Macaca fascicularis: one gene and its partners. The protein of the gene in region 4 purifies or fractionates together with the protein of the main gene of each other region. This does not show direct contact. Links are inferred from orthologs where the notes say so. Each region holds a gene or a part of one and is shown on either strand. Other genes may lie near its edges.

Evidence for each region.
Region 1: the proteins of DDX39B (region 4) and SF3A1 purify together in Homo sapiens (affinity purification with mass spectrometry; 3 studies listed by BioGRID and IntAct, with this or other methods). This does not show direct contact. The link is inferred for Macaca fascicularis from reciprocal best matches to the Homo sapiens genes DDX39B and SF3A1.
Region 2: the proteins of DDX39B (region 4) and LIMA1 purify together in Homo sapiens (affinity purification with mass spectrometry, with the first as the bait; 3 studies listed by BioGRID). This does not show direct contact. The link is inferred for Macaca fascicularis from reciprocal best matches to the Homo sapiens genes DDX39B and LIMA1.
Region 3: the proteins of DDX39B (region 4) and HNRNPU purify together in Homo sapiens (affinity purification with mass spectrometry, with the first as the bait; 3 studies listed by BioGRID). This does not show direct contact. The link is inferred for Macaca fascicularis from reciprocal best matches to the Homo sapiens genes DDX39B and HNRNPU.
Region 5: the proteins of DDX39B (region 4) and LMNA purify together in Homo sapiens (affinity purification with mass spectrometry, with the first as the bait; 4 studies listed by BioGRID). This does not show direct contact. The link is inferred for Macaca fascicularis from reciprocal best matches to the Homo sapiens genes DDX39B and LMNA.
Region 6: the proteins of DDX39B (region 4) and MYO1C purify together in Homo sapiens (affinity purification with mass spectrometry; 5 studies listed by BioGRID and IntAct, with this or other methods). This does not show direct contact. The link is inferred for Macaca fascicularis from reciprocal best matches to the Homo sapiens genes DDX39B and MYO1C.
Region 7: the proteins of DDX39B (region 4) and CLTC purify together in Homo sapiens (affinity purification with mass spectrometry, with the first as the bait; 3 studies listed by BioGRID). This does not show direct contact. The link is inferred for Macaca fascicularis from reciprocal best matches to the Homo sapiens genes DDX39B and CLTC.

The regions. Positions count from the first base shown.
Region 1 is NC_088384.1:21,329,009-21,331,611, forward strand, and holds part of SF3A1 (splicing factor 3A subunit 1), read left to right. Parts: coding exon 1-73; intron 74-967; coding exon 968-1,175; intron 1,176-1,684; coding exon 1,685-1,839; intron 1,840-2,603. UniProt on the Homo sapiens protein: Component of the 17S U2 SnRNP complex of the spliceosome, a large ribonucleoprotein complex that removes introns from transcribed pre-mRNAs.
Region 2 is NC_088385.1:57,007,861-57,010,649, reverse strand, and holds the end of LIMA1 (LIM domain and actin-binding protein 1), read left to right. Parts: coding exon 1-1,007; 3' UTR 1,008-2,289; downstream 2,290-2,789. UniProt on the Homo sapiens protein: Actin-binding protein involved in actin cytoskeleton regulation and dynamics. Increases the number and size of actin stress fibers and inhibits membrane ruffling. Inhibits actin filament depolymerization.
Region 3 is NC_088375.1:4,313,654-4,317,897, forward strand, and holds the start of HNRNPU (heterogeneous nuclear ribonucleoprotein U), read left to right. Parts: upstream 1-1,444; 5' UTR 1,445-1,682; coding exon 1,683-2,373; intron 2,374-3,263; coding exon 3,264-3,375; intron 3,376-3,462; coding exon 3,463-3,536; intron 3,537-4,244. UniProt on the Homo sapiens protein: DNA- and RNA-binding protein involved in several cellular processes such as nuclear chromatin organization, telomere-length regulation, transcription, mRNA alternative splicing and stability, Xist-mediated transcriptional silencing and mitotic cell progression.
Region 4 is NC_088378.1:140,188,762-140,193,014, forward strand, and holds the start of DDX39B (spliceosome RNA helicase DDX39B), read left to right. Parts: upstream 1-1,453; 5' UTR 1,454-1,507; exon of another isoform or gene 1,508-2,056; intron 2,057-2,275; exon of another isoform or gene 2,276-2,353; intron 2,354-2,793; 5' UTR 2,794-2,925; coding exon 2,926-3,136; intron 3,137-4,161; coding exon 4,162-4,253. UniProt on the Homo sapiens protein: Involved in nuclear export of spliced and unspliced mRNA. Component of the TREX complex which is thought to couple mRNA transcription, processing and nuclear export, and specifically associates with spliced mRNA and not with unspliced pre-mRNA.
Region 5 is NC_088375.1:104,963,401-104,967,498, reverse strand, and holds the start of LMNA (lamin), read left to right. Parts: upstream 1-1,298; 5' UTR 1,299-1,506; coding exon 1,507-1,862; intron 1,863-4,098.
Region 6 is NC_088390.1:1,603,257-1,607,486, forward strand, and holds the start of MYO1C (unconventional myosin-Ic), read right to left. Parts: upstream 2,801-4,230; 5' UTR 2,702-2,800; coding exon 2,627-2,701; intron 2,489-2,626; exon of another isoform or gene 2,316-2,488; coding exon of another isoform or gene 2,247-2,315; intron 1,911-2,246; exon of another isoform or gene 1,829-1,910; intron 1,483-1,828; exon of another isoform or gene 1,186-1,482; intron 1-1,185.
Region 7 is NC_088390.1:47,088,113-47,092,073, reverse strand, and holds the start of CLTC (clathrin heavy chain 1), read left to right. Parts: upstream 1-1,161; 5' UTR 1,162-1,398; coding exon 1,399-1,440; intron 1,441-3,961. UniProt on the Homo sapiens protein: Clathrin is the major protein of the polyhedral coat of coated pits and vesicles. Two different adapter protein complexes link the clathrin lattice either to the plasma membrane or to the trans-Golgi network.

The DNA of each region.
Region 1 (2,603 bases), on a different chromosome or scaffold from region 4:
ACCGCCACCATCTTCAGCCACCAACATCCCCAGCTCGGCCCCACCCATCACTTCAGTGCCCCGACCACCCACAGTAAGCCAGCATCTACCCTGCAGCTGACTTTTTAGAGCTTTGTTCTTGAGGTCGGACAGTGTTGGCTGAGACGGGCAACTGCCTTACAGTGTGGGGTGGGTCAGTTTGAAAGAGAAAGAGCCCTTTAAATGCAAGTGGGAACCTCTAGCTTAATCTGTTTGTGGAGGAGGGTTGGAACAAGGAGGGAGGTGAGAGGCAAATGTGAGAAACCAGTTAGCGTCAGAGAAGGGCTGCAGGGCTTATTGGGTCTGTGAGGACTGCTGGCCTGTCTCCAGGAGATTTAGTCGAGGTCTCAGCTCCTCTCCCTATTTTTTTTTTTTTTTTTTTTTTCTGAGACAGAGCTTCGCTCTTGTCGCCCAGGCTGGAGTGCAGTGGCACGATCTCGGCTCACCGCAACCTCCGTCTCCCGAGTTCAAGTGATTCTCCTGCCTCAGCCTCCCAAGTAGCTGGGATTACAGGCATGCGTCACCACGCCCAGCTAATTTTGTATTTTTAGTAGAGACAGGGTTTCTCCATGTTGATCAGACTGGTCTCGAACTCCTGACCTCCGGTGATTCGCCCACCTCAGCCTCCCAAACTGCTGAGATTGTAGGCATGAGCCACTGTGCCCAGCCAAGGTCTCAGCCTCTTTAGTGACTCTTTCAGTGATTGCCAAAGTAGCTGGTCGAATTTGACCTGCCAAGTCCCAAGCAGAGAGAATGTCATTCTCAGGCTCTCAGTAGCTCAGTTCCTGTTGGACGCCCAGTGTGAGGCCACAGTTTCTCAGTCCCAGGGGGCCAGGACGGAGCTGTCTAACCTTCATCCTCAGAGCTGCAGGCGGCCAGTTGCCAACTGTGTGTGCCCTTGGAGTCCAACTTTGGCTTCCTGTAACTTGTGGGTCTCTTTCCTGCACAGATGCCACCTCCAGTTCGTACTACAGTTGTCTCTGCAGTACCTGTCATGCCCCGGCCCCCAATGGCATCTGTGGTTCGGCTGCCCCCAGGCTCAGTGATCGCCCCCATGCCGCCCATCATCCACGCGCCCAGAATCAACGTGGTGCCCATGCCTCCCTCGGCCCCTCCTATCATGGCCCCCCGCCCACCCCCTATGATTGTGCCAACAGGTCAGTATCTCTTGCATCACTTTCCAGGCCATTAGGTCAGGGACCACAGGCCAAGTACTGTCAACAGAGCTGTGGCTGATGCTAGTGCGAGCTGTTCCAGCAGGGTGTCCAGCCCAGAGGAGAGGCCCTGGCTTCCTGTGTGAAAGATCCGCAACCCTAGAGCTGGGAGCTACCATTCCTGGTAGAAATGGGAGGCTAAAATGATGTAGCCGGTGTCTGCATTCAGGGATCAGGTCCCTAACAGGCTCAGAGGCCTGAGAGTTGCTTGTTGCCTGGCACTAGCTCCATCCGTCAGTCCTGCCCCTCCTGCAGTCCTCTGCTATCCAATCTGGGCAGCCTCCCAGGTCCCCCTGCTGGGGAACCTGCTGGCTGCCAGACTCATCAGGGAACAGCACTTCACACCTCTGACTAGAGGAAACCTTTGCAACCTCCTCTCTCAACTTCTCATCAGCCCTGAGTCCTGGGCCCATTCTGCCCTCTCATGGGGCTGCTTATTCTTATCTTTGCAGCCTTTGTGCCTGCTCCACCTGTGGCACCTGTCCCAGCTCCAGCCCCAATGCCCCCTGTTCATCCCCCACCTCCCATGGAAGATGAGCCTACCTCCAAAAAACTGAAGACAGAAGACAGCCTCATGCCAGAGGAGGAGTTCCTGCGCAGAAACAAGGTATGTGATCCCAGAATGCTGCTCAAGTTTCTAGCTGGAGGGTTCAGCCTCGCCCCTGTCGTACACTTCCCAGACTGACCCTATTTTACTCCCAGTCTTGGCTTCTGGGGCGTAGGTCAGCCGCTGGAGGCATCTAAGGGCTTCTGAGCACACCGTGAATGTGGGGTCAAAAATTAGAGGAGCAGAGAGCATTGGTGGTGATGGTGATGGTGGTGGTGGTGATGGTGGTGGTGGCAGAGGTGGTAACTGTGGTGGTCCCTCTGGTGTAGACTTAACAGGCCAACAGGGAGACCCAGCTGCACGGACAGCACAACTCAGGTGTGAGAGGGACCCTAGACCCCTGGAGGAAATTGTGTGTGGTGTTTTAAAATTTACTGTGGCCTTCCTCCCCAGCTCTAGCCCTTAGGAGGTCTGCCTGTTGGGTGGGATCCTGTTGGGGTCCTGCAATAAGGGGAGGTGGGGACCTTGTCACTGCCAGTCCCTAGAGAAGCTGTCAGGCTGCAGTGAGGATACAGAAACAGCCCCAGCTTCTGCTCCCCCAATGTCTTTGACCAAATTGTTTGTTTGTTTGTTTTTCCCCCGCAACCTCTGCCTCCCGGGTTCAAGTGATTCTTATAACTCAGCCTCCTGAGTAGCTGGGATTACAGGTGTGCATCACACACCCAGCTACTTTTTGTATTTTTAGTATTTTAGTAGAGAGGGGATTTTGCCACGTTGGCCAGGCTTGTCACCTGGCCATAAGTGATCCGCCATCTTGGCCTCCC
Region 2 (2,789 bases), on a different chromosome or scaffold from region 4:
TAGGAACATATGCATCTTTACACGGAAGAATCTATTGTAAGCCTCACTTCAATCAACTCTTTAAATCTAAGGGCAACTATGATGAAGGCTTTGGGCACAGACCACACAAGGATCTATGGGCAAGCAAAAATGAAAGCGAAGAGATTTTGGAGAGACCAGCCCAGCTTGCAAATGCAAGGGAGACCTCTCACAGCCCAGGGGTGGAAGATGCTCCTATTGCTAAGGTGGGTGTCCTCGCTGCAAGTATGGAAGCCAAGGCGGCCTCTCAGCAGGAGAAGGAAGACAAGCCAGCTGAAACCAAGAAGCTGAGGATCGCCTGGCCACCCCCCACTGAACTTGGAAGTTCAGGAAGTGCCTTGGAGGAAGGGATCAAAGTGTCAAAGCCCAAATGGCCTCCTGAAGATGAAATCAGCAAGCCCGAAGTTCCTGAGGATGTCGATCTGGATCTGAAGAAGCTAAGACGATCTTCTTCACTGAAGGAAAGAAGCCGCCCATTCACTGTAGCAGCTTCATTTCAAAGCACCTCTGTCAAGAGCCCAAAAACTTTGTCCCCACCTATCAGGAAAGGCTGGAGCATGTCAGAGCAGAGTGAAGAGTTTGTGGGCGGAATAGTTGCAGAAAGGAAACAAGTGGAAAATGCCAAGGCTTCTAAGAAGAATGGGAGTGTGGGAAAAACAACCTGGCAAAACAAGGAATCTAAAGGAGGAGAGACAGGGAAGAGAAGTAAGGAAGGTCATAGTCTGGAGTTGGAGAATGAGAATCTTGTAGAAAATGGTGCAAACTTTGATGAAGATGATAACAGCTTCCTCAAACAACAGTCTCCACAAGAACCCAAGTCTCCAAATTGGTCCAGTTTTGTAGACGACACCTTCGCTGAAGAATTCACTACTGAGAATCAGAAATCCCAGGATGTGGAACTCTGGGAGGGAGAAGTGGTCAAAGAGCTCTCTGTGGAGGAACAGATAAAGAGAAATCGGTATTATGATGAGGATGAGGATGAAGAGTGACAAATTGCAATGATGCTGGGCCTTAAATTCATGTTAGTGTTAGCGAGCCACTGCCCTTTGTCAAAGTGTGATGCACATAAGCAGGTATCCCAGCGTGAAATGTAATTTACTTGGAAGTAACTTTGGAAAAGAATTCCTTCTTAAAACCAAAAAACAAAACAAAACAAAACAAAAAAACATATTCTAAATGCTAGAGATAACTTTACTTAAATTCTTCATTTTAGCAGTGATGATATGCATAAGTGCTGTAAGGCTTAGAACTGGGGAAATATTCCACCTTATAATAGCCCAGATTCTACTATATTCCCAAAAGGCAATATTAAAGTAGATAGATGATCAGTAGTATATTGTTACACACTATTTTGGAATTAGAGAACATACAGAAGGAATTTAGGGGCCTAAACATTACGACTGAATGCACTTTAGTATAAAGGGCACAGTTTGTATATTTTTAAATGAATACCAATTTAATTTTTTTAGGATTTACCTGTTAAGAGTTTATTTAGTCTTTAAATTTTTTTAGATTAATTTTCTGGCTGTGATATATATAAGGAATTTACTACTTTATGTCCTACTCTCTAAACTATATCCTGAACTCGACGTCCTGAGGTATAACACAACGGAGCACTTTTTGAGGCAATTGAAAAACCAACCTACATTCTTCGGTGCTTGGAGAGATCTATCTCCCAAATAAGCTTTTGTATCTGCCAATGAATTTACTGTACTCCAAATGATTGCTTTCTTTTCTGATTATATCTGTGCTTCTCATAATTTACTGAAAGCTGCAATATTTTAGTAATACCTTTGGGATCACTGTCCCCCATGTTCCATGTTAGAGCAAAGTGAAGAGTTTAAAGGAGGAATAAGAAAGAACTGCTTTACACCATTTGAGCTCAGACCTCTAAGCCCTGTATTTCCCTTATGATGTCCTCTTTTTGAGATACTAATTTTTAAATACTTATTAGCTCTGAAATATATTGATTTTTATCACAGACAGTATTCCCAGGGTGAAATTAAACCAACTATAGGCCTTTTTCTTGGGATGATTTTCTAGTCTTAAGGTTTGAGGACATTATAAACTTGAGTACATTTGTTGTACACAATTGATATTCCAAATGTATGGATGGGAGGGAGAGGTGTTTTAAGCTGTAGGCTTTTCTTTGTACTGCATTTATTAGAGATTTAGCTTTAATATTTTTTAGAGATGTAAAACATTGTGCTTTCTTAGTCATGCTTAGTCTGAAACATTTTTATTCAATAAAGATTTTAATGAAAATTTGAACTTTTCAATGTTTCTCTTCCATTTTTTTTTTACATTATTACTGTCTCTCAGGATCTCAGTTTGGGAAGAAAAACATGGTACTACTTTTTTTAGTTGAAGAGACACGTCATCAATACATCTCACCACTAGATGGTAGTGTTGGGCTGATTTTGGATTTCAGTCCTCCCTAAAGGAAGACAAATTTTTCTGGAAAATTGCAGGCAACTTGGCAAGAGAATTAATGTGTGCACTCAAAATGAGCTATTTTACCAATTTGAAATCCAGTGGTGGTTTTTATTGTTTATAGCATTCAACATTGAATAATTCACCTTACAATTATGCCTAGCATGCTGAATGGATTTCCAAATGTCTCTGCTGAAAATGGACTTGTTTTTTACTTTAGGCAGATGCTTTTTTTTTTTTTGAGACACAGTCTTGCTCCGTCGCCCAGGCTGGAGTACAGTGGCATGATCTTGGCTCACTGCAACCTCCACCTCCCCAGTTCAAGTGATTCTCCTGCC
Region 3 (4,244 bases), on a different chromosome or scaffold from region 4:
CACTTAACTTGAACTGGGGATTATCAGTAGTACCGTACATAGTCCATTAATTTCAAGTCAAATCATTTCACAAATGTTAATATTTCACGTATACATGGCTGCAAGGTATGACAGAATGCTTCATAAAAGCCATTGAAAATAAACTTCAAAAGTAAAATGCATCAATCAGTTAAATCCCATTAGCCTATGGGAGAAATTTCAATATGTATACCTCCAAATTTCAAATTAATAATGGGGCAATATTATTGTGCCACCTAGAGTACCAAACAGTGGGTATAAACCATCTCCTTAGTCAGATGGAACACTGGCTGGACACTGCAGATTATCTGGGGTTTAAGACGTTAACTTCTATCACGAATCTAAATTCTGACTTCCCTGTCTAAAACTTCGGGAACATCACATCTTTTATTTAAAGCGAAAAAGTAAACTTCTAACATACAAAATAACGGATTTCTTTTCAAGAGCGATAGTCCTTTTTTTTTTTTTTTTTTTTTTAACAAAATCACTGCCCTTGATTTTTCATGAACTTTAAGTTTCAGAATGATTTGGTCAAGAGTATTTCTACAGGAATAGGAAGAGAATCAAGTGGGCCTATAATCAAAGACCTAGCTGGGTCTCACCCTCATGGTTAACTACTGAGACTTCATAGCCGATGACCAGGTCCTAAAGTGGACAGAACAAGCCTTACTGGAGGTCCGTCTTTGTGGTAGGTACAGAAAACTTGGAAATGCAATTCTGTGGTTTATTTAGGGTTATTAAGAGCATGAGAATAGCCCTGCAAAGGCTGGTAAACTAGGGTTTGCAGTATGGAGTAGTAAGCAAAGCCTCTACTTCCCAGGCCCTGCACCCGGGGTGTGGAACAGACAAAAGAACGGCTCTGCCCTTGCCCTTCTCGAACTTAAAATCCAATTCGCAAAGCAGGACTTACACATATTAAATCAAATACAGCATTATGCTGAAAAGAGCCCCTGCGTGTAACAGTTGCCAATGTGTGTTATACCAGTCAAAACGATTTGAAGGAGTTTTAAACGAAAAGCTGGAGAAACATACAAGAAGGCAGATCTAAGATGGAAGAAAAGGCGTATTCGGGTTGAAATGCCAAGTTGAGGACTGAAGAAAGCATTTGGACAAAGCAGCCTCCAGGCTGGGAAGGCGAAAAGCCAAACGAGTATAGCCACCAAAGACCCAGAAAGGCCAATAGATTGTGCAGTGAGTCGGTTTAACTGAAAGGCGGTTTCCTTTTCCTCCATTTGCTCAGTCCCAATTGGAAGCGCACTGCGCGGCCTGCGCCGCGCTCTCCGCCCGGGTTCGGCGTGGGGGCGGGGAGGTAAGTACGGTAATGGGCGGGGCCGAGCGCGGGCGCGCTCCGGCTTTCCTCCTGCGCAGCGCTCCCGTCAGCGCAGGGGGCGGGGCGCCTATATTACGTGCGCGGCGCCGCCCCTGCGAGAGGACGTTGCGTGCTCGCTCGCGCCAGGCGAGTCTCCGCGTCTCCCTCGCGAACTCGGTGAAAGGAATTGGCGCCGTTCGACACCAGGCGGATCCGCTCTGCAGCACGACCCCATCTCCAGCCGCAGCCGCAGCCGCCGCCCGGGCCGAGGAGCAGCCGCAGCAGCCGCCACCAGTGGCCGAGTGAGCGGAGCCGAGTTTGAGGCAGCGCCTAGCGGTGAATCGGGGCCCTCACCATGAGTTCCTCGCCTGTTAATGTAAAAAAGCTGAAGGTGTCGGAGCTGAAAGAGGAGCTCAAGAAGCGACGCCTTTCTGACAAGGGTCTCAAGGCCGAGCTCATGGAGCGACTCCAGGCCGCGCTGGACGACGAGGAGGCCGGGGGCCGCCCCGCCATGGAGCCCGGGAACGGCAGCCTAGACCTGGGCGGGGATTCCGCCGGGCGCTCGGGAGCAGGCCTCGAGCAGGAGGCCGCGGTCGGCGGCGATGAAGAGGAGGAGGAAGAGGAAGAGGAGGAGGAAGGAATCTCCGCCCTGGACGGCGACCAGATGGAGCTAGGAGAGGAGAACGGGGCCGCGGGGGCGGCCGACTCGGGCCCGATGGAGGAGGAGGAGGCCGCCTCGGAAGACGAGAACGGCGACGATCAGGGTTTCCAGGAAGGGGAAGATGAGCTCGGGGACGAAGAGGAAGGCGCGGGCGACGAGAACGGGCACGGGGAGCAGCAGCCTCAACCGCCGGCGACGCAGCAGCAACAGACCCAACAGCAGCGCGGGGCCGCCAAGGAGGCCGCGGGGAAGAGCAGCGGCCCCACCTCGCTGTTCGCGGTGACGGTGGCGCCGCCCGGGGCGAGGCAGGGCCAGCAGCAGGCGGGAGGTAAGAAGAAGGCGGAAGGCGGCGGAGGCGGCGGTCGCCCCGGGGCTCCGGCGGCGGGTGAGTGCTGCGTTGTACGTTGCGCGCGGCGGGAGGCCCGCGCGGGGTGGGGACCGTGCCCCAGGCCTGCCGGAGCCCCGCAGGGGGAGGGAGCCCCGGGCGGGCGGGGGCCGCGGGGAGGGTGGCGGGTGGGGGAGGGGGCGCGGGGAATCCCAGATTAGCCGAGAGGCCTCGGGCTCGGGGCGTGTGTGCGTGTGTTCGTGTGTGTGTGTGTGTGTGTGACGGCGGTGGCAGCGCCTCCATTATGTGGCTCGAGAGCCGGGGGGAGCTGCAGCTGCCGCTGGAGGGGGAGGAGCCGCGGGCGGGCGGCGGGAGGGAGCCCGGTCGGCCCGCGGTGGCGCCGTCGCGCTGCGTGCGCGCGGTGCGGGCACATGTCTCGGGGGGAGGGGAGAGGCCCCAGGTCCCGGGGCGGGCGCGCTTTGGCGGCTCCTCGCCGCTGTATTGTGCAAGGAGCGCAGGGGCTCGGCGTGACGTCACTTCCTGCGGGAGGAGCCGGGCGGGGCGGGGCGGGGGGCGGAAGATCAGTACAATGCGGCCGCGGGGAGCGCGGGCCCGCGGGGGAGGGGAGCGCCGCCGCGCCGGGCTCGGCCCCTCCCCCTCCTGCGCCCTGGTCGCGATACACGTGGGCTTCGGGCCTGGGCCGCGCAGTTTTTCTTTGGGTTTCTCGAATCATCGAGGAGACTGGCAAAATTCGTAACGTCTTTAGACTGCGTCACTAGCGCTAATCCAATTCGTAGCTGATTGTTCTTCGAATTCACATTTGAGTCCTCGGTTAAAACCTCAGTTAAAAAGCAGGATAAAGTCGAGCTGCTTTGCTTCTCGGAACGGAAAAGCGCTTTTTTGTTGTTGTTTAGCGGCCTGGCCTCTTATGGGGGTCTTGTGTGTTTTAGGGGACGGCAAAACAGAACAGAAAGGCGGAGATAAAAAGAGGGGTGTTAAAAGACCACGAGAAGATCATGGCCGTGGATATTTTGAGTACATTGAAGAGAACAAGTATAGCAGGTATAGGATGCTCACCTAGTTTTACTTGTCATCCCTTATTCGTTCGTTGATCGGAAAGCTGTATCAGGAGACAATTCTGTCTTTCAGAGCCAAATCTCCTCAGCCACCTGTTGAAGAAGAAGATGAACACTTCGATGACACAGTGGTTTGTCTTGATACTTGTAAGTGAAGCTGTTTCTCCCCAATTATGAAATGCGGTGATGGTTTTTATTTTTTTTTTTTGCTTCCAAAATGTTAGAAAACTTAATGCTTAAGTGCAGCAAAAGTTGGGTTAGTTTTTTTTAAAAGCAGGAAGAGATAATGGTTTATATTCAGAACCTAGTAGTTTAATATTTAGCACGGCATCAGTTGTATCAAATGGATTATTTTACAGGCTCTAGGAGTTTCATATTTTTATGACTTGAAAGTTCTCGTTCTTAGGAAATGTAAAATTAATGCCAGTTTCTGACTAGCTAACGGAAACTTGTAACACTACCTATAATTTAGCCTTACAGGCTTCTACAATAAAGTAATTCATTTTTTTGTGGAATTATATTAAGTGAGCTATTTGGGCTAGTTAAATATTTACTAATGACTTCTCCCATTAGCACACAAGTATATTCCCTATTCTAAAAGATTGTAATATTATTTTTTCAATAACTGCTCTTTTGTTCTCAATTCCAGTTCAGTAGCTGCTGCTTTAAACATAAGTTGATTTCTTCCAAAGACCTGAGGCAGCAGCAGTGGGCTATCACTGGGCCACTAGCTTTCTTCAGCAGCGAATGGTATCAATGGCAGTGCAGCACTGTAAATACTGCTACTTCACCCAGTTGGGTTGCAATTGAGTATGAGAAAGTATTGCAAACCTCTAAGTGGGCTTTGACTGTCAG
Region 4 (4,253 bases):
CCCAGAACCTAGGACAGCATGTGGCACAAGGGAGGCAGTTGATACTTTTGCATAAATTGAATGATACGTGGGAAAATACCTTCTATGACACTATTCTTGAATTAGTTACTTCATTTTATCACTGAAGACAAGCTTGCTTCACCAAGAATTTGAACCAATAAGGTAACCCGTAGTGTATTTACTAACCAGATTCTTTGAGCAGGGAGGCAGAATACAATAGAGAATTAGAGATGTTTGCATCCTGGCTGTAACCTCACTAGCTGTACTGCTTGGGATATGTTGCTTTGCTTCTGTCAATAAGATGACAAGAACGGTACCTACTCCTTAGTATTAAAAGATTAAGTGTGCTAACAGGGAGAGGGTCAAACGTTTGTTGTTTTATTACACAGCAGGACATCAGGTCTTACTTTTGTAGCTCCCCATCTCAAAGACAGGGATGGCAAATGTTTCATTCAGGAAAAAAAATCCAGGTTGAACAATGGGGCTGTTGGGGTGGGGCCAAGAACATTCTGCTCGAATTAACAGTATTAATGGGCCTGGTGAGGTGGCTCACGCCTGTAATCCCAGCACTTTGGGAGGCCGAGGCAGGTGGATCACCTGAGGTCATACATGGGTGAAAACCCGTCTCTACTAAAAAACCAAAAATTTGCTGGGCGTGGTAGCGGGCGCCTGTAATCCTAGCTACTTGGGAGGCTGAGGCAGGAGAATCGCTTGAACCCAGGAAGCAGAGGTTGCAGTGAGCCGAGACCACGCCATTGCACTCCAGCCTGGGCGACAGAGCGAAACTCTGTCTCAAAACAAAAAGAAAAACAGTATTAATGGAATGTAGTATAACCCTCAAGCCCTACTATTGACACTTGGGGCCGAATCCAGACCCCGTCTTCCCGCTCGGATTCAGAACACCTTCCTGACTCCCTGGCCCTAGGGCCGCAGCTACCTCGGACAGCATCCTTTTGGGAAAATACCGCCCACTAGCCCCACGACTGGGAAAGAGTCGGGCAACGCCCCTCCCCTCAGCTAGGGCCTGCCGTTTCCTAGTGCTTGCCCAGCCGCCCTCAGGTCACCTTCACTACCGGGCCAAGGACCCCGTGGGAACTCGCAGCCCTCGCCACACCGGTTCCTCGCGCATCCATGGAGTGCCTAGAGAGAAGACCTGCATGGCAAAAACCTAAACGAAGAGATGAGAGGCATGGAGAGGAGTACGACAACAGAAGAAAGATAACAGTGGGAGGAGACGTTAGTTTCCTTTATCCGTTTTGTTACTGGCGGTAGCAGGGAAGTTAGAAACGGTTTTAAAACAAATTTCAGACAGGCATTTTCCAAAGGCAAGCCTGGAGCGCACGGATCTGTACAACCGCGGAAGGCCCCGTTTCCGGTCCCTTGCGCCTGCGCTCTTGCAGCCAAGAAGGCGGGAGGCTGGAGTAGGGAGAAGCCTGCAACCGGAAGTGAAGGCAGATTTCCCTCCTTCGTCGCTGTTGCTGCCGCCATACGCGCTCTGCCTGCTTAGGTAAGCTTTGGCGTTCACTACAATCCGTTGCCATCTGCGCTTCTTCGCACCCATCCCGTCACATGGGTTCCTGATACCCTTTTCACAGGCGATCGTCTGGTCTCTGGGGCCTAGTTGGTTCCCCATTTCCGTAGCTTGCATCCCTTTCGAGAGCAAAGAGCTCTTGGGGGAAGGAAGGGAAGCTAAGGGGGGGCCCAATCCAAGATGGTGTCCTCGGCGCCATTGTGTTCGTTTTGCTCCCTTCTTCCAGTAGGTTCTTTTCATATTGGAGGCCTCAGCATCAATGAGAGGCGGCGCTAGGCGTCCCTTGGTCTTGGTATTTGCGGAGGGCGGGGCTCTTATCACCTTACTTGTCCTTTCTTGAGCCCTTTCTTGGCCCACGGTGGGACTGGGAGGAGGAGCCGGTTTTTGGGCCCAGTTGGATTTTTCTCACCTTGACTCGCCCAAGTTAATTTGGAGTGCCTTACAAGTGTTTACTACTGGTGTCATTGTATGTTTCTCCAAAAGGAGTCTCACCTTCGTAGCGCAACAGTGATGTCAGACCACTTGGTAAAGATCCTGTTAAAGCCTGGGCGGGGATTGCCTTTCTCTGTCAACTATTAACTTTGTTATTGTAGGGTGGAGACATGGATTTTTTTTTTTTTGGTGGCCGAGCCATTTGTCTTGCACCGCCCCTCCCCCCCATGCTAATTACACAAGGCTTTCTTAAACAACGGAAGAGAGGATACTGAGAAGTGGGAGGCTGAGAGCTATGGGAGGTGGACGGCGGCCATATGATGTTTTCTTTTCGAAAGATGAGCGCTTTGCGCAGTGATGACCCTCATCTATCACCCTTGACTGATGGCTGCTGAGTTAGGCATCCATAACGGTGGGATTATAATAGGGAAAGCACAGTCTTCCTTTGAGGACTTTCCAGGACTCTGCTTGTCATCTCCATTTTCCACTTTACTAAGTTATTAATCATATTTTATCTTTTATTATCTATTATATTTCCTCACTGTTATTTTCAGATTAAGAATTTATAAGTTGGTCTTCCCCTTCCAACTTTTCTGGTTTCCGCTACTGTGATTGCTAATCTTGTTGGGAACCTGTGTCCTAACCACTTTCGCTGGTGCTGCTTTTTCTGTTCTCTTGTATTTGCTTTTCGTTTTTATGTTGTGTATCTGTTTTTTTTTCCATGTAAAAGTTTCCTAGTTTAGGGAAAGTGGGAACTGGGAATGGAAAAGAGGTGGTGAAGGCTCTGCTCGTGACTAAGTCTTGCTTTTTTTTTTTTTCCCCTTCCCCAGCTCTTCTGTTAGAAATAGTATCTTTATTTTCCTTTGCTGTTCCTCAATCCCCTACTCTTCACCCCTTGTTTTCACCTGTTTTGCGAGAACCCATCCAGATCCCCCTTCCCGTCTTCCCCTGCCGGCCCAGTTATGGCAGAGAACGATGTGGACAATGAGCTCTTGGACTATGAAGATGATGAGGTGGAGACAGCAGCTGGGGGAGATGGGGCTGAGGCCCCTGCCAAGAAGGATGTCAAGGGCTCCTATGTCTCCATCCACAGCTCTGGCTTTCGTGACTTCCTGCTCAAGCCAGAGTTGCTCCGGGCCATTGTCGACTGTGGCTTTGAGCATCCGTCAGAAGGTAAATTTTCTCTTGGGCATGTAGTGCTCATTGGGCTCTTTAAGGGTACAATAAAAAGATGTGTTTGTTGTTGCTCAGGTGGTAAAAGTTTATACTTAAGGCTAGATCAGGGTCAGGTGCAGGGGCTCACGCCTGTAATCCCAGCGCTTTGGGAGGGCAAGGCAGGAGGGGTGGTCACTTGAGCTCGAGTGCAAGAGAAGCCTGGGCAAGATAGGGAGACTCCTGTCTCTACTAAACGAAGCAGGTGAAGGTTGAGGCTTCAGTGAGCCGTTATTGCACTACTGTACACCAGCCGGGGAGACAGGAAAAAAAAAATCAGGAGATAAGTATCGAAAACGATTTTGGATAGAGGAGGATTATACAGACTTGTTCTTTCTTTCATGATAGCACCAAAGTGCTAATTATCCAAAAGTAGCTTCTAGGTCTGCCATTCATTCTTGTGACTGACTTCTTTTGTCTGCTTATTTTTAATTTTGTCATTTGACTTGTAATTTTAAATTTCCAGAAAGGTCCTGATTGGACCTGTAGTCTCCCTCTGTTGGGCCAGGCCAACTGTGGCCTCTGGAAACCTCTATGACTGGTTTAGAGATGACTGGCTTCTGGGTCAGGTACCAAGTCCTTCATTTTGTCCCGGGTTGTTGTTATGTGACCCGAAGTATGGCAACCTAAGTAGGAGAAATGTCTTTAGCAGGTATTCAGATGTCATGAATTGTTACAGATTAAGAAAAATAAGGACAGAGCCAGGAGCATTGAAGGTGAGCGGTTGGTAGATGCAAGGGGGCTGTTAGTAGGACTGGGAAGGCCTAGATCTGGAGGAGGCCAAAGCTGGGATGAATTAGGAGAGTCTGATTTTGAGGTGAATATAATTGAGCAGAGAGAGGTAAAAGGGGTCTGGAAGTTGGCAAGAACCAGGTAAATACTAGATTTTGAGAATTGAGTGGTAAGAAATGGGCTTGGCATGATGAAAAAGGTTGTAGAGTTATCTGGAGACTGAAGTCTAATTTATCTTTCCTCCCCACTTTTAGTCCAGCATGAGTGCATCCCTCAGGCCATTCTGGGAATGGATGTCCTGTGCCAGGCCAAGTCGGGCATGGGAAAGACAGCAGTGTTTGTGTTG
Region 5 (4,098 bases), on a different chromosome or scaffold from region 4:
AGTGGAAGGCTTATCAAAAGGGTCCTTGGTGAGGCCTGAGGATGGAGGCTCCAGAGCCTGAGCTAGCGAACCCTGGGGACCTGGGTGATCTCGTTTTGTGAGACAGCCTGGCCCCTCCCCAGAGCCAGCTGCAAAATGGACCTGGCCAGAGAGGAAAGTAGAGATGAATGTGGTGCTGGCCTTTGCAGCCAGCAAGGCTGTGGGGTCTTTGCTGTTCCTGCCCCCCACTACCTTCTTACCCCCTACTACCTTCTTTCTGGCTGAAACCAGGATAGAGACCCAACATTGGCTGTCCAGCCCCCAGCCCTGCTCCCCCTTTCAGGCCCCTCTGGGAACCACAGAAATCTGGGACCTAGTGTCCTGGCAACGTAATGAATGCACACACAGCTCTGGTATCTGTTTTAAATTATCCATTAAAATAAGTACAGTTCTGGGGAAAAAAAATTAAGTTGACTGGGTGGGGTAAGCAGTAGAAAGGGACTGAAGGGGGAAGGAACCCAAGCAGTGCTTGGGTCCAAAGGAAGGGGACAGGAGATGGAAGGGGGAAGTGCCTGGCTCCTATTCTTGGCCTTCTTTAGGGGACTGTGGCTTGTTGCTTGGGTCTAAAAACGAATGCTTGGTTTTGAAGGGAGATATATTGGGGCAAAAGAAAGCAAAAAAGGGACCCCCAAACTCCTTGATCCCTGGCCCCAAATTGGGGGCATAAAGGAACTCAGGTTCCAGAACTTTGTTCCCCCCAGGGAACCCAGGCATTCCTTCTCCACCCCACTCCTGGCACACTGAGATGCAGCTCTGAATGGGCTGCCCACGTGTGGAGGGGGGGTTGGGGTGACTCACTATTACTACTGGGAGGACAGGGGGAGCCAGTGGTGGAAGAAGGGTGAGTCACACTGATGGGCACCAGCCTCAGCCCTCCCCCCACTTTCCTGGCTCCCAGCCCTGCCTGCCTGACCCTCTCCCTTGCTTTGCACCCACTTCCCTCTCTTTCTCCCCCACCCTTTTGCCCACCCACTCTCCCTCCTTGGCTCTGCCCTCTAGCCCAGAAGGTCTGAGGCAATGGGGGCAAGCTTGGAGCCGGCAGTACTGAGCAGCCAAGAGAGGGGAAGCTTAAGCCTCACGCAGTTAGGGGTGCGCTGGAGAGGGTGGGGCTCGACTCCGCCACACCCCAACGGTCTTTCCCCCTCCTCACCACTCCTGCCCCCACCCCCATGGATCTGGGACTGCCCCTTTAAGAGCAGTGGCCACTCCTCCCTTCAGACGAGGACCTATTAGAGCCTTTGCCCCGGCGTCGGTGACTCAGTGTTCGCGGGAGCGCAGCACCTACACCAGCCAACCCAGATCCCGAGGTCCAACAGCGCTCGGCCCAGATCCCCACGCCTGCCAGTAGCAAGCCGAGAGCCAGCCGGCCGGCGCACTCCGACTCCGAGCAGTCTCCGTCCTTCTGCCCGAGCCCCGAGCCCTTTCCGGGACCCCTGCCCCGCGGGCAGCGCTGCCAACCTGCCGGCCATGGAGACCCCGTCCCAGCGGCGCGCCACCCGCAGCGGGGCGCAGGCCAGTTCCACTCCGCTGTCGCCCACCCGCATCACCCGGCTGCAGGAGAAGGAGGACCTGCAGGAGCTCAATGATCGCTTGGCGGTCTACATCGACCGTGTTCGCTCGCTGGAAACGGAGAACGCAGGGCTGCGCCTTCGCATCACCGAGTCTGAAGAGGTGGTCAGCCGCGAGGTGTCCGGCATCAAGGCCGCCTACGAGGCCGAGCTCGGGGATGCCCGCAAGACCCTCGACTCAGTGGCCAAGGAGCGTGCCCGCCTGCAGCTGGAGCTGAGCAAAGTGCGTGAGGAGTTTAAGGAGCTGAAAGCGCGGTGAGTTCGCCCAGGTGGCTGCGTGCCTGGCGGGGAGTGGAGAGGGCGGCTGGCCGGCGCCCCTGGCCGACTGCAGGAAGGGAGTGAGAGGGCCTGGAGGCCGATAACTTTGCCATAGTCTCCTCCCTTCCCGGAACTGCCCCCAGCGAGTGACTGGCAGTGTCAAGGGGAATTGTCAAGACAGGACAGAGAGGGAAGAGGTGGTCTCTGGGAGAGGGCGGGGGGGATATAAGGAATGGTGGGGGTATCAGGGACAAGTTAGGGCTGGGGCCTGCCCGAATTCGGTCAGATTGGGATTTGCCAGCTATTTGGAGCCTGCGGGAGGGGCTTAAGCAAAACAGAACTAGCCCTGCCAGCTCGAAGAACTCTGGGCACCCAGGACACATATGAGTAGCAGAAAGGGTCCTGTTAGAACTTTGTTGGCGGGCTTGGCACTGGTGCCAGCTTTGCCCAAGCTGGCTCTGAACACATGATGCCCACTAAGACATGACTCCCAAGCTGGCATCTGTCCAGCGTGTTGGAGAGAGGTGAGAAAGGCAGGGCAATCCCCCTTTTCCCTCCCGAGGGCTTGGCGGTGGCCCCCTCGGCATGACCTTTTCCGGGGTTCTAAGGGTTGGGAAGCTGTCCCTCACTCTGCCACTCTGCGTGTCTGGGACCTTCCTTGGGCTCTGACAGGCCCACCAAAAGAGCTCCGGGAGATGGGAGATCGGGAGATTGGCTCCCCCGCAGCTCCCACAGCCCTTGGCCTGCTTGGCCCAGGAATGCAAGGGAGGGAGGGAGGCAGAGGGCAGAGGCTCCCAGCTCAGGAAGTTGTGTTATGCCCAGGTCTGGCCGCACTCCTCCCTTGGCCCACTGCCTCGTGTCTTCGAGGGTTGGGGGCACTGTCCTTCCCTCCTTGGAGTGAGCCACTTTCATTTTCCCAGCCAGGCCAGGCAGTCTTTGCTCAGGCCCATCCTCTTAGCTGCTGACGTTTTGATCTTTGTCTTATTAAAGTGCTGGAATACAGTGACATTTTTGAAATCCAGCCGTTGGAAGCTTCAGGCCACTCCTACTTTACCCACCCCTGCCCCACCCTACCCCACCCTGCTCAACTCCACCTTCTTCTTTCCTAAAAAAGCCTTGGGAGCTTGGAAGTATAGGCCTTCCTCTTCCAGTCCCCCCAAAATTTGGTTCCCTTCTTCCTGCCTTCCCTTTCTCTATGCAGACCCAGGCTAAGAGCACTAACAGGGCTTGGAGAGCCATAAAGGGCTGTTGGCTTTGAGTTCTTCTCTCCCTTTTATCAACTACTCCAAACTTCTGCTCTTCCCAAAACCCTTTGCTAGGTGTGGTGGGTGTGGCAGATCCATCGCCCTTTTTTTTTTTTGAAAATGGAGTTTCGCTTTTGTTGCCCAGGCTAGAGTGCAATGGCACAATCTCGGCTCACCGCAACCTCTGCCTCCCAGGTTTAAGCGATTCTCCTGCCTCAGCCTCCCAAGTAGCTGAGATTACAGGCATGTGCCACCATGCCGGGCTAATTTTGTATTTTTAGTAGAGAAGGGGTTTCTTCATGTTGGTCATGCTAGTCTTGAACTCCCAACCTCAGGTGATCCACCTACCTTGGCCTCCCAAAGTCCTAGGATTACAGGCGCGAGCCACCACGCCGGGCCCATAGCCCTTCTTTCTGAAGAGTCAGTAGAAGTTGTGTGTAGGAAAACAGGCTCAACCTTTTTTTCTTTCTTTCTTTTTTTTTTTTTTTTGAGACAGGGTCTCACTCTGTTACCCAGACTGGAATGAAGTGGTGCGATCTTGGCTCACCGCAACCACCACCTCCCAGGCTCAAGAGATTCTCCTGCCTCAGCCTCCCGAGTAGCTGGGATTACAGGCGTGAGCCACCACACCCAGCTAATTTTTTTTTTTTTTTTTTTTTTGTATTTTTAGTAGAGACAGGGTTTCACCATGTTGACTAGACTGGTCTCAAACTCCTGCCTTCAAATGATCCACCCACCTCAGCCTCCCAGAGTGCTGGGATTACAGGCATGAGCCACCATGCCCGGCCATCAACCTTTATTTTGTTTTTTTGAGACGGAGTCTCGCTTTGTTGTCCAGGCTGGAGTACAGTAGTGTGATCTCGGCTCACTGCAACCTCTGCCTCCTGGGTTCAAGCCATGCTTCTGCCTCAGCCTCCCAAGTAGCTGGGACAACAGGTGCCGGCCACCACACCCAGCTAAATTTTGTATTTTTAGTAGAGACGGTGTTT
Region 6 (4,230 bases), on a different chromosome or scaffold from region 4:
ACACCTGTAATCCCAACACTTTGGGAGGCCAAGGCAGGCAGATCACTTGAGGTCAGGAGTTCCAGACCAGCCTGGCCAACATGGTGAAACCCTGTCTCAACTAAAAATACAAAAATTAGCAGGGTGTGGTGGCGCACGCTTGTAATCCCAGCTACTTAGGACACTGAGACAGGAGAGAATCGCTTGAACCTAGGAGGCAGAGGGTGCAGTGAGCTGAGATCGCCCCACTGCACTCCAGACTGAGTGACAGAGCAAGACTCTGTCTCAATAAATACATAAATAAATAAACAAACAGGGCCTTTGACCCCTAACCTGTACTCCCTGTTCAATGTCTTTGTAGAGAGAAGGGTGGCACTTTAAGCTGGTCATCACAGCCTGGCATTAATAGGCCTGCTCTCCTCCCTCCACTCCTCACACTAAGTAGTCACAACCTGCTAAAACCTCACCTCCAGGCCGGGCGAGGTGGCTCATGCCTGTAATCCCAGCACTTTGGTAGGCCTAGGTGAGCGGATCACGAGGTCAAGAGATTGAGACCATTCTGGTTAACACGTTGAAACCCCTTCTCTGCTAAAAATAAAAAAAAATTAGCTGGGCGTCGTGGCACGCGCCTGTAATCCCAGCTACTCGGGAGGCAGAGGCAGGAGAATAGCTTGAACCCAGGAGGCAGAGGTTGCAGTGAGCTGAGATCGCACCACTGCATTCCATCCTGGGTGACAGCGAGACTCCTTCTTAAAACAAAACACACCAACAACAAAAACATAAAACAAAAACTTCACCTCCATCACTGCTCCTTACTTGGGCCAAGACAGCAGCCTCCTAACTGGACGCCTTGCCTTCCTCCTACCAATCCATTTCCCCTCGGGCAATACAAATCAAAGCAACACCTCATGTTCACAGAGTGAAGGTTTAGGGCACCCTCCATGTGCCAGGCCCATGATTCACACTCACTGCTGCTTACCGGGACCCTGCCTATGAACTCCCGAGACACCCCTGCTGTCCTCAGTTTACCCCACTGCTCCTGCATTCCGGTGTGCCAGGTGGCCCGCTCCAGTCCCCTCTGTCCCCACCCCTCCCCTCCCACCCACAACACGCAGCCAGGAGGAGTCTTCGCACCGTCGCCAGCCAGTCCAAGCTTCAGTGCTTGCACCTGCGGCTTCCCCAGCCCGGGGCACCCTCCTTGCCCACCTCACGGAGACTAGGCTCAGGTGTCACCTCCTCCAGAACCCCTGCCTGATTCTCCCGAACACGCCGCGTCTCCTTATCGCACCCCGCAGGAGTCAGCTGTTTCCCTGTCAGTCCCTCCCAGGAGACGGCTCCCACTCCCTACACCCAGCGAGGCACACGGTGGGGCTCAGTCACCCCTTCCCGGCCCCCTGGAAGAATGAATGAATCTCAGAGGCAGGAGTGTCCGCGGGAGGCCGGAGCGTGAGGACCGAGGGCCGCGTGGCCAGCCTCATTCTCCGGCCACACTCGGGGCGCGCTGGGCCCCAGGGGCGGAGAACGGGAAGGGGCGGGTTCAGGCGGCTTCTCCGGAACCCAGAGGCAGAGCAGGGCTGCGGGCGGGGCCCGAAGGGCGCGCGGGGTCCTGGGTCCTGCAGCCCAGGCCGCTCTTCCCCGCCTCCCGCTCCCCGCAGGTAAATCTAAGTCTCCACCAGGCTGCGCCGGCGCCTCCGGGTCCTGGGACCCCCGCACGGGTCCCCCCGGCCGCTCTTCGGCCCCAGCGATCCCCGGCCGTGACCCCCGCTTCCCGCACTGCGGCTCCCGGCCCGGCCGCCCGCTCCCCACACCCGCCCCCCGCGGCCGCCGTCCCCGCGCCCCGAGTACCCACCGGCTTGGCTCTTCCGGCGCGGGCGGGGGCCGGGCTGGGCGGCGTGGCGGGCTCGAGGATCCGCGGCCCGGGCGCACTCTCCCCGCCCAGGGCCCGCCGGGGGCCGGGCCGCAGCCTGTCGTCATCCCGGGCAGGGCGCGCACCCTCCGGCCCCGCCCCACCCCAGCCCGGCCGCGTCCGCGAAGCCTGGATGCGGGCGGCCCCCGCCTCGGCCGGTTCCCGGGGCAGCCGCGTCCGGCCACAGCGAACACGCGCGCGCCCCTCCGGCCGAAGACCCGGCTCCCCGCCGCGGTGCTGGGGGCGCGGGGGCGCCTGACTTTATCCCTCCTCCGGGCCCTTTGCATCTCCAGCCCCTTCCCTGCGGACCGGGTCAGGGCCGCGCTCCCCGGTTTCCACCCACCCATGTCCCTTCACCCACCTCCCACACCGTCCTCCTGTTCTGAGTCTTGGGAGGTCCCAGCCCGGCGGACTGGAGAGGAGCTTCCATGCCCTCATCCTTCGACCTCACAGCAGCCGGCACTTGCCTTTTGTGCCCAGTATTCACAGTTCTGCCCACTGAGGTTCAGGAAGCTGGAGGAGTCAAGCCCAGACCTCCACTTCCAAAAATCCTGCTGCTGGTGGCGCTTACATCCTTACTCTTCCACTCACCCCGTCTTGTTCAGTCTGTGCTGGCCCCATCCAAGGATTGGAACCCCTCCCCCTCTGCTCACCTCTTGCCCTAGGGCTCTGCTTGAGAGGGGCTGCCCGGCCCTGGGGAGATACTCCACCCTCCTCCCAGCCCCGAGCATCCCAGCTTACAAGCTTGCAGGGCCTGTGGGGATGAACCACGCGGATGATCTCCCCGGTGGGTACCAGCTCCACTTGCAGCGCCATTCCGCCCTGCGGAGAGCCAGCGCCCTGGGCACTGGGGCCTGTGAGCAAAAGCTGCTGCCCACTGGCTGGCTCTGACCGTTCCAGGAGCCAGGAACCTATGGCCTAACGCCGGGATGGCCACTTGGTTCTGCTTCAACTCCAGCCCCAGGGGATGTGGCTGGTCCAGCGCCTCAGGACACAGCTGGAGCCGTCCAGGTCTGATTGGGAGGCCTCTTGGCCCGGATGGTTGGAGCAGGAAGAGGAGGGGCTGGTGATGGAGGAAATGCCTGTTGTCCCAGGTAACCAGAGGAGCCCATGCAGCCACCCACGGGGGACCCTGGGCTCCAGGTCAAAGGGTAGGACGCCTTTCCCCTTCCCCCGCCACCCCCCAGCAGCTCTATGGCTGGGCCCCTCCTCCTGCCACTGTCTGGTACCAGCTAAAGCACAGGGCCCACTCCCCAAACCAGAAGGCATGCCCTCCCCTAGGCCAAGAGGACCCCTCAGTGCACACTGCCTTTCCTGCACATCCCCTCAACCGGCCGTCCCCCACAGCAGGTGAGCCCCCACCATGAGTTTGAGTGGCCAGGGCTGCTGGGGGCTGGTCGTGCTGGGCAGAGGGCGTTGTCCCACTGGGAGAAGACTCTTGTCTTACCCTCCTCCGAGCCTCAGAGCTTGTGAGGTGAGTTCCTGAGTTCCCTGGGTGTGGCAACCTCTAGCTCTGTTCATCCTTGCATTTCGACAGTACCCCCAGGTGACCCCCCACCCCTGACGTTCCTGCTTTTCTATTTTTACTGCTGCTAAATCACAGCTGACACTTTCCTGGCCTGAGACTGAGCCCTCCGGTCTCCAGCCATTCCTTAGAGGAAGTCAGAACAGGGAAGTGGATAGGGGAACAGACCTTTCCAGAGGGAGAGGCTGGCATAGGAAGGGCCGAGTCCCGTGGGCGTGTGCTGGCACTGACAGCCCCATAGGCAGGGGCCTTCCCCTCGGCACCCTTCTGTCTCCCCACAGCTTCCCCCGCCCCAGAAAGGCTAGCAAGCCCTCCTTCCTTCCTCCAGGAAGCACATCTATCCAGGGCAGGCTCATCCCCAGCGGCCACACAATGGCCCTTATCAGCCGTGGAGCCAGGCGTAGACCCAGTGCACACCAGGTCTCACTTATTTCCTGTTTCCACCCAGTGGGTCGGGGTGGACCCAGAGCGGCCATATCCTGACTGGGGCCCAGAAGACGGAGAGCACCCCCGCTTCCCCTTTCCGCCTCTCAATCACTGCTGGGCTCACCCCTCCCTCACAGGAGGCAGGGTGTGTGGGGGCCTCAGTTCACCACGGGGGAGGTGAGCATGTGGGGGGACCCCTGGGTCAAGCCCCAGGGCTGCATTAATCTGAACGGGGAGGCAGGTCTAGCGCGATATACTTTTTGCAATGGTTCTCCCACAATAGTCTTGAGAATAGGGACATCATCTGTATTTTCAGACTACTGAGACCGCTCTGCGGGTGGGTTCAGATCCCTTTCCTGTTCCTGGTCCTGCAGGAAACCACAGGTGCCTGGAA
Region 7 (3,961 bases), on a different chromosome or scaffold from region 4:
TTGATACCTCCATGCTCTTTGAAGACATGATGCTCCGGCTTTGAAGCGCTGCATTTCTACACTGCTAACCTACAGGAACCTATGTTGAGGTGGTCCCACGGAAATGCACGACTAACAGTTCATCTCTTTCCTCCAGGAACCTTCAGGTTTTACCAAGCATCCTTACCCTAATTATCTAAATCTCTGAGACATAAATTATTTGATGTGGCTAAAAATCCTCCTGCTAGAATTTGAGTCCAATCCTTGTACGTTCTGATACTCGAATTCTTTAACGAAACTGATTACTGAGCTAGGCTGACACATGTCCGCCCGCCAAAATGTCCGCAGAAACGTTAAGAGAAGCTGTCATAAGGCCAGCTTGAGACACATCATAAATGGCCTTCGCTGTCCTTTGAGCTAATTATCTAACACCCGAAGAGAGTGCCGGTTCTAGTTAGAATCCGCGCGTCAGGTTCTCCAACCGTCAGAAGGGCGTGTGTGAGGGCAGGGAGGATTTTAAACCCCGTTTCAGGCCCCCTCCCTAGGCTGTAGGAAACCACCCACTCTGAAGCCCGGCGGGGGAGGAGTGCTGCAGCCAGCTGCCGAGGGAGCGCTCTGCGGCGAGGCCGTTTCCCTGAGTCACGGAGAGGGCGGGAGGCTGCCCCCGTCTGCCCCCGCCACGTCCTCCTGTAAGGGGCTCAGTCCAAACAGGCAGGGGTCGCAGGGGAAGGAAGCGGCACCCGTCATGCCTCAAGGTGGCCCAACAGCCACTTCACTCCCAGGAGACGCCGCATTTCCTTAAAACGCGCTCTCCATTCTGGCAGCAATCAGCCGACCCTTCCCCATCAGTATCACGTGCACCTGGAAGTACGTGGGTGGGACCTAAAGCACCCACGGAAGTGACGTCGGTCGCTCCGAGTCGCATGATGTGGCAAAATGCAAAAAAAAAAAAAAAAAAAAGTGGGGGTAGAAAAAGAAGATTGGCGAAAGTGATGAGTCTAAAAAAGTAGTCCCTCCGGTTCCTCTGTTGCCCCCCGTGTGGCGTCAGAAGAGAGGCTCCGGGCGCACAGCGCCCGGAATTCCTGCACCCGCCGCACGCACCGCTCCGTGGAGGGGTACATAAGGCGGAGGGGGTGAGGCGACTGGGCGGAGTTCTGTCGCCGGGATCCTTCCGCTGGGCTCAGCCGTTTCCGGAGTCTGCGCTGCGCCCGGTTCCGCCATTGCGGCTCTCCTGGCCCGTGGAGCCTCCGCCCCCGACCCGAGCTCTTTCGTCTGCGTGCCAGTTTCCTGCGTCCCCGGAGAGGATCCTGCTGAGCCCAGCCTCCCCCCTCCCCTTCTCCTCCTCTCCCTCGGAGAGCCCGGGCAGCCACTGCCCCGCAGCCCCAGTGACAGGAGGAGACCATTCCCCCCGACAGCGCCATGGCCCAGATTCTGCCAATTCGTTTTCAGGAGCATCTCCAGGTGCGGCCGGGCCCGGGCTGGTGAGGGCTGTGGAGAAGGTGGTAGGAATAGTGGAAGAAGCTGGAGTCTGGGCCCCGAGCAGGATCGGAGCTGGAGGGGTGGGGGGGTTGTCGGTCTTTGGGGTAGGTGGAGGAGGGGGCACTATCTTAGAAAGCTTAAACTGTTAAATGATGTGGGGCTTGGATGAAAGGACAGGAGTTGGGGTGCAAAGGGCTGCAAAGACCAGGCCTGGATCCAAAGGCCTCTCGATCTTGCTTCCTGGATGGCCAGAACTGCGCGTACAAACTCTCTCCTCCCCATTTTGTTCAGTTCATTCATTTGGGTAGGGGAGTGGGAGGGGGGATTCTCTCTTGTTTCTACCAGAGCAAGGATTCTTATCCCCTGGGCCAGTGCGGGGCTGTCACCTTCCATTGCTCTCCTCTTTCCCTCTTCGTGTCTGCACCCAGGAGTTGTGGGGCGGGTGGGTTGGGGAGGAGCAACCTTTTTTTTTTCCTCCCTCTGCGGCTCTCAACTGAGAAAGGCACCTTCTCCGGTGGTGGGGGTTGGGGGTGGTGGTGAGGCGGTGGCTTGTCTCTTGCCTTCCTTGAGGCAGTAGGGACAGAAGGTCACTGAAAGAACGAAACGAGGGTAGAATGGGAGAACGCATTTCTCAGAACGATGTCAATCTCAGAGTGTGTGGGGTCGAGCTCCCTAAGGAAACTCGCCTCCCCTTCCCACTTTTTTTATTTCTTTGGGGATGTTGTGGCTCTTAACCCCTCTTTGGTTCTAGAAGGTAGGAAAGAGTGATACAGAGGTTATCTTCTAGTCTTCTCGAGTAGTAGCAGGTAGTTTTGAATATCTTCCTCAGGATCGCATGGAATTGAACAGAGCCCTGGGGACAGAGCACAGCTGCTCTGAGACCTGCGGGGCTATTTGGTCTGTAACTGGCTTCCCTTTAGTAAGTTCTAGAGTTCTTTCCCATGGTTCCTTATCCTGGAGGCAACATATTGTTGTCTCATCTGGCAGCATGCCAATCGCTGGCCTAGGCAGGTGACCATTGGAAGGCTTCACTGAATTAAACCTCTTCAGAGCTTTTGATTTTCCTGTGTCACCAATCCTGATTTTTACTGTAGCTGAAACAATTTATTCCTATTAATTTGCTTTCTTCCCAAATATCCCCTTAAAGAAACCTGCCTCAGCTCTATCGTCTGAAGGGCTAATTCCATAATGACAGAGAATGCAGTGGTTTGACATGACACTAATATCAGTGACTTATTAGACACTTTACCATTGAAGACCATTTTTATTTACATTCCCCCATTGGTATAACATACATAAAAGAGTTTTGTTAATAAAAGGTTTTAATATTCAGGCTATAAGTAACATAATTTCATATTTCTTTGCAGGTATTACCATGTTTGCACTAGCAAGGACTTATTTTCCTTTAAGGCTTGAAATGTAAAGAATAATAAATCTTTACCCATAAAATGAGTCAAATAATGCACTTTCTTCAGTCATCTATAATTTTCAAATAACTCATCTGAAGTAATGGAATATACCTTGGCATATCTTGGCATATATATATAAATATATTTATGCCAATAATAAAAACACTTTTACAGAAGGTTAAAAACGTTAAATAACAAAGTGGATTTTTTTTTAATCAATCCAAGTTTAATTGCTTTAGTTATTTTTGTTAAAGTGGGGTGGCAAATGAATGTGGAGAGTTGAGAAAGTGCTGTTCTTAAGTGTGAGGGGAAAACGCGGGCTTGTTTTCATACTAAGCTGCATCTGAAATATCTTTCTGCAGACAAATGTTTATAAACCACACAAAGAATCAAGTACAGCTGCTGTTTATTTTCCATGGCAGATGTATAGCTCACTACTAAATCTTGTGGTGGTTCGAGTAATAGCTTTTCATTTCTTTTAAAGAGGAGACAAGAATTGTTAAATGATGCCAGAGATTGGAACCCAACCTTGTCACTTATTGAAGACAAATTTAATACATGTCTGTTTTGTAACTGGCTCAGTTTCAGCAGATACTTGAATGAAGCCATTTTCTTCTCAAATAATTTGAAGATTTTGAATATAAAGCAGATTTGCAAATTGAAAATTCAGCCCTCTGTGTTTTGGATTGCTATGTCATGCCTAAAGTTAAGCTTGCTTAGCTAATATGACTGTGTGCTCCAGCTGATTAATTGCAGAGCGCAAATAACTACAGCCTCTTCCATGATAATATATCTCCTGACTTCATTATCTCCTACCTTTTGAAAAATTAATAAGGTTTTTGTTTTTTGAAGAGACAGGGTTTTTGCTGGAGGTCAGTGGCACTGTCACAGGTCACTGCAGCCTTGACCTACTGGGCTCAAGCCATCCTCCCACCTCAGCATCCTGAGTAGTTGGGACTACGGCCATGAGCCACCACACCTGGCTAATTTTTGTATTTTTTGTAGAGATGGGGCTTCACTATGTTGCCCAGGCTAGTCTCGAATTCCTGGGCTCAAGCAATCCTTTGCCTTGGCCTCCCAAAGTGCTGGGATAA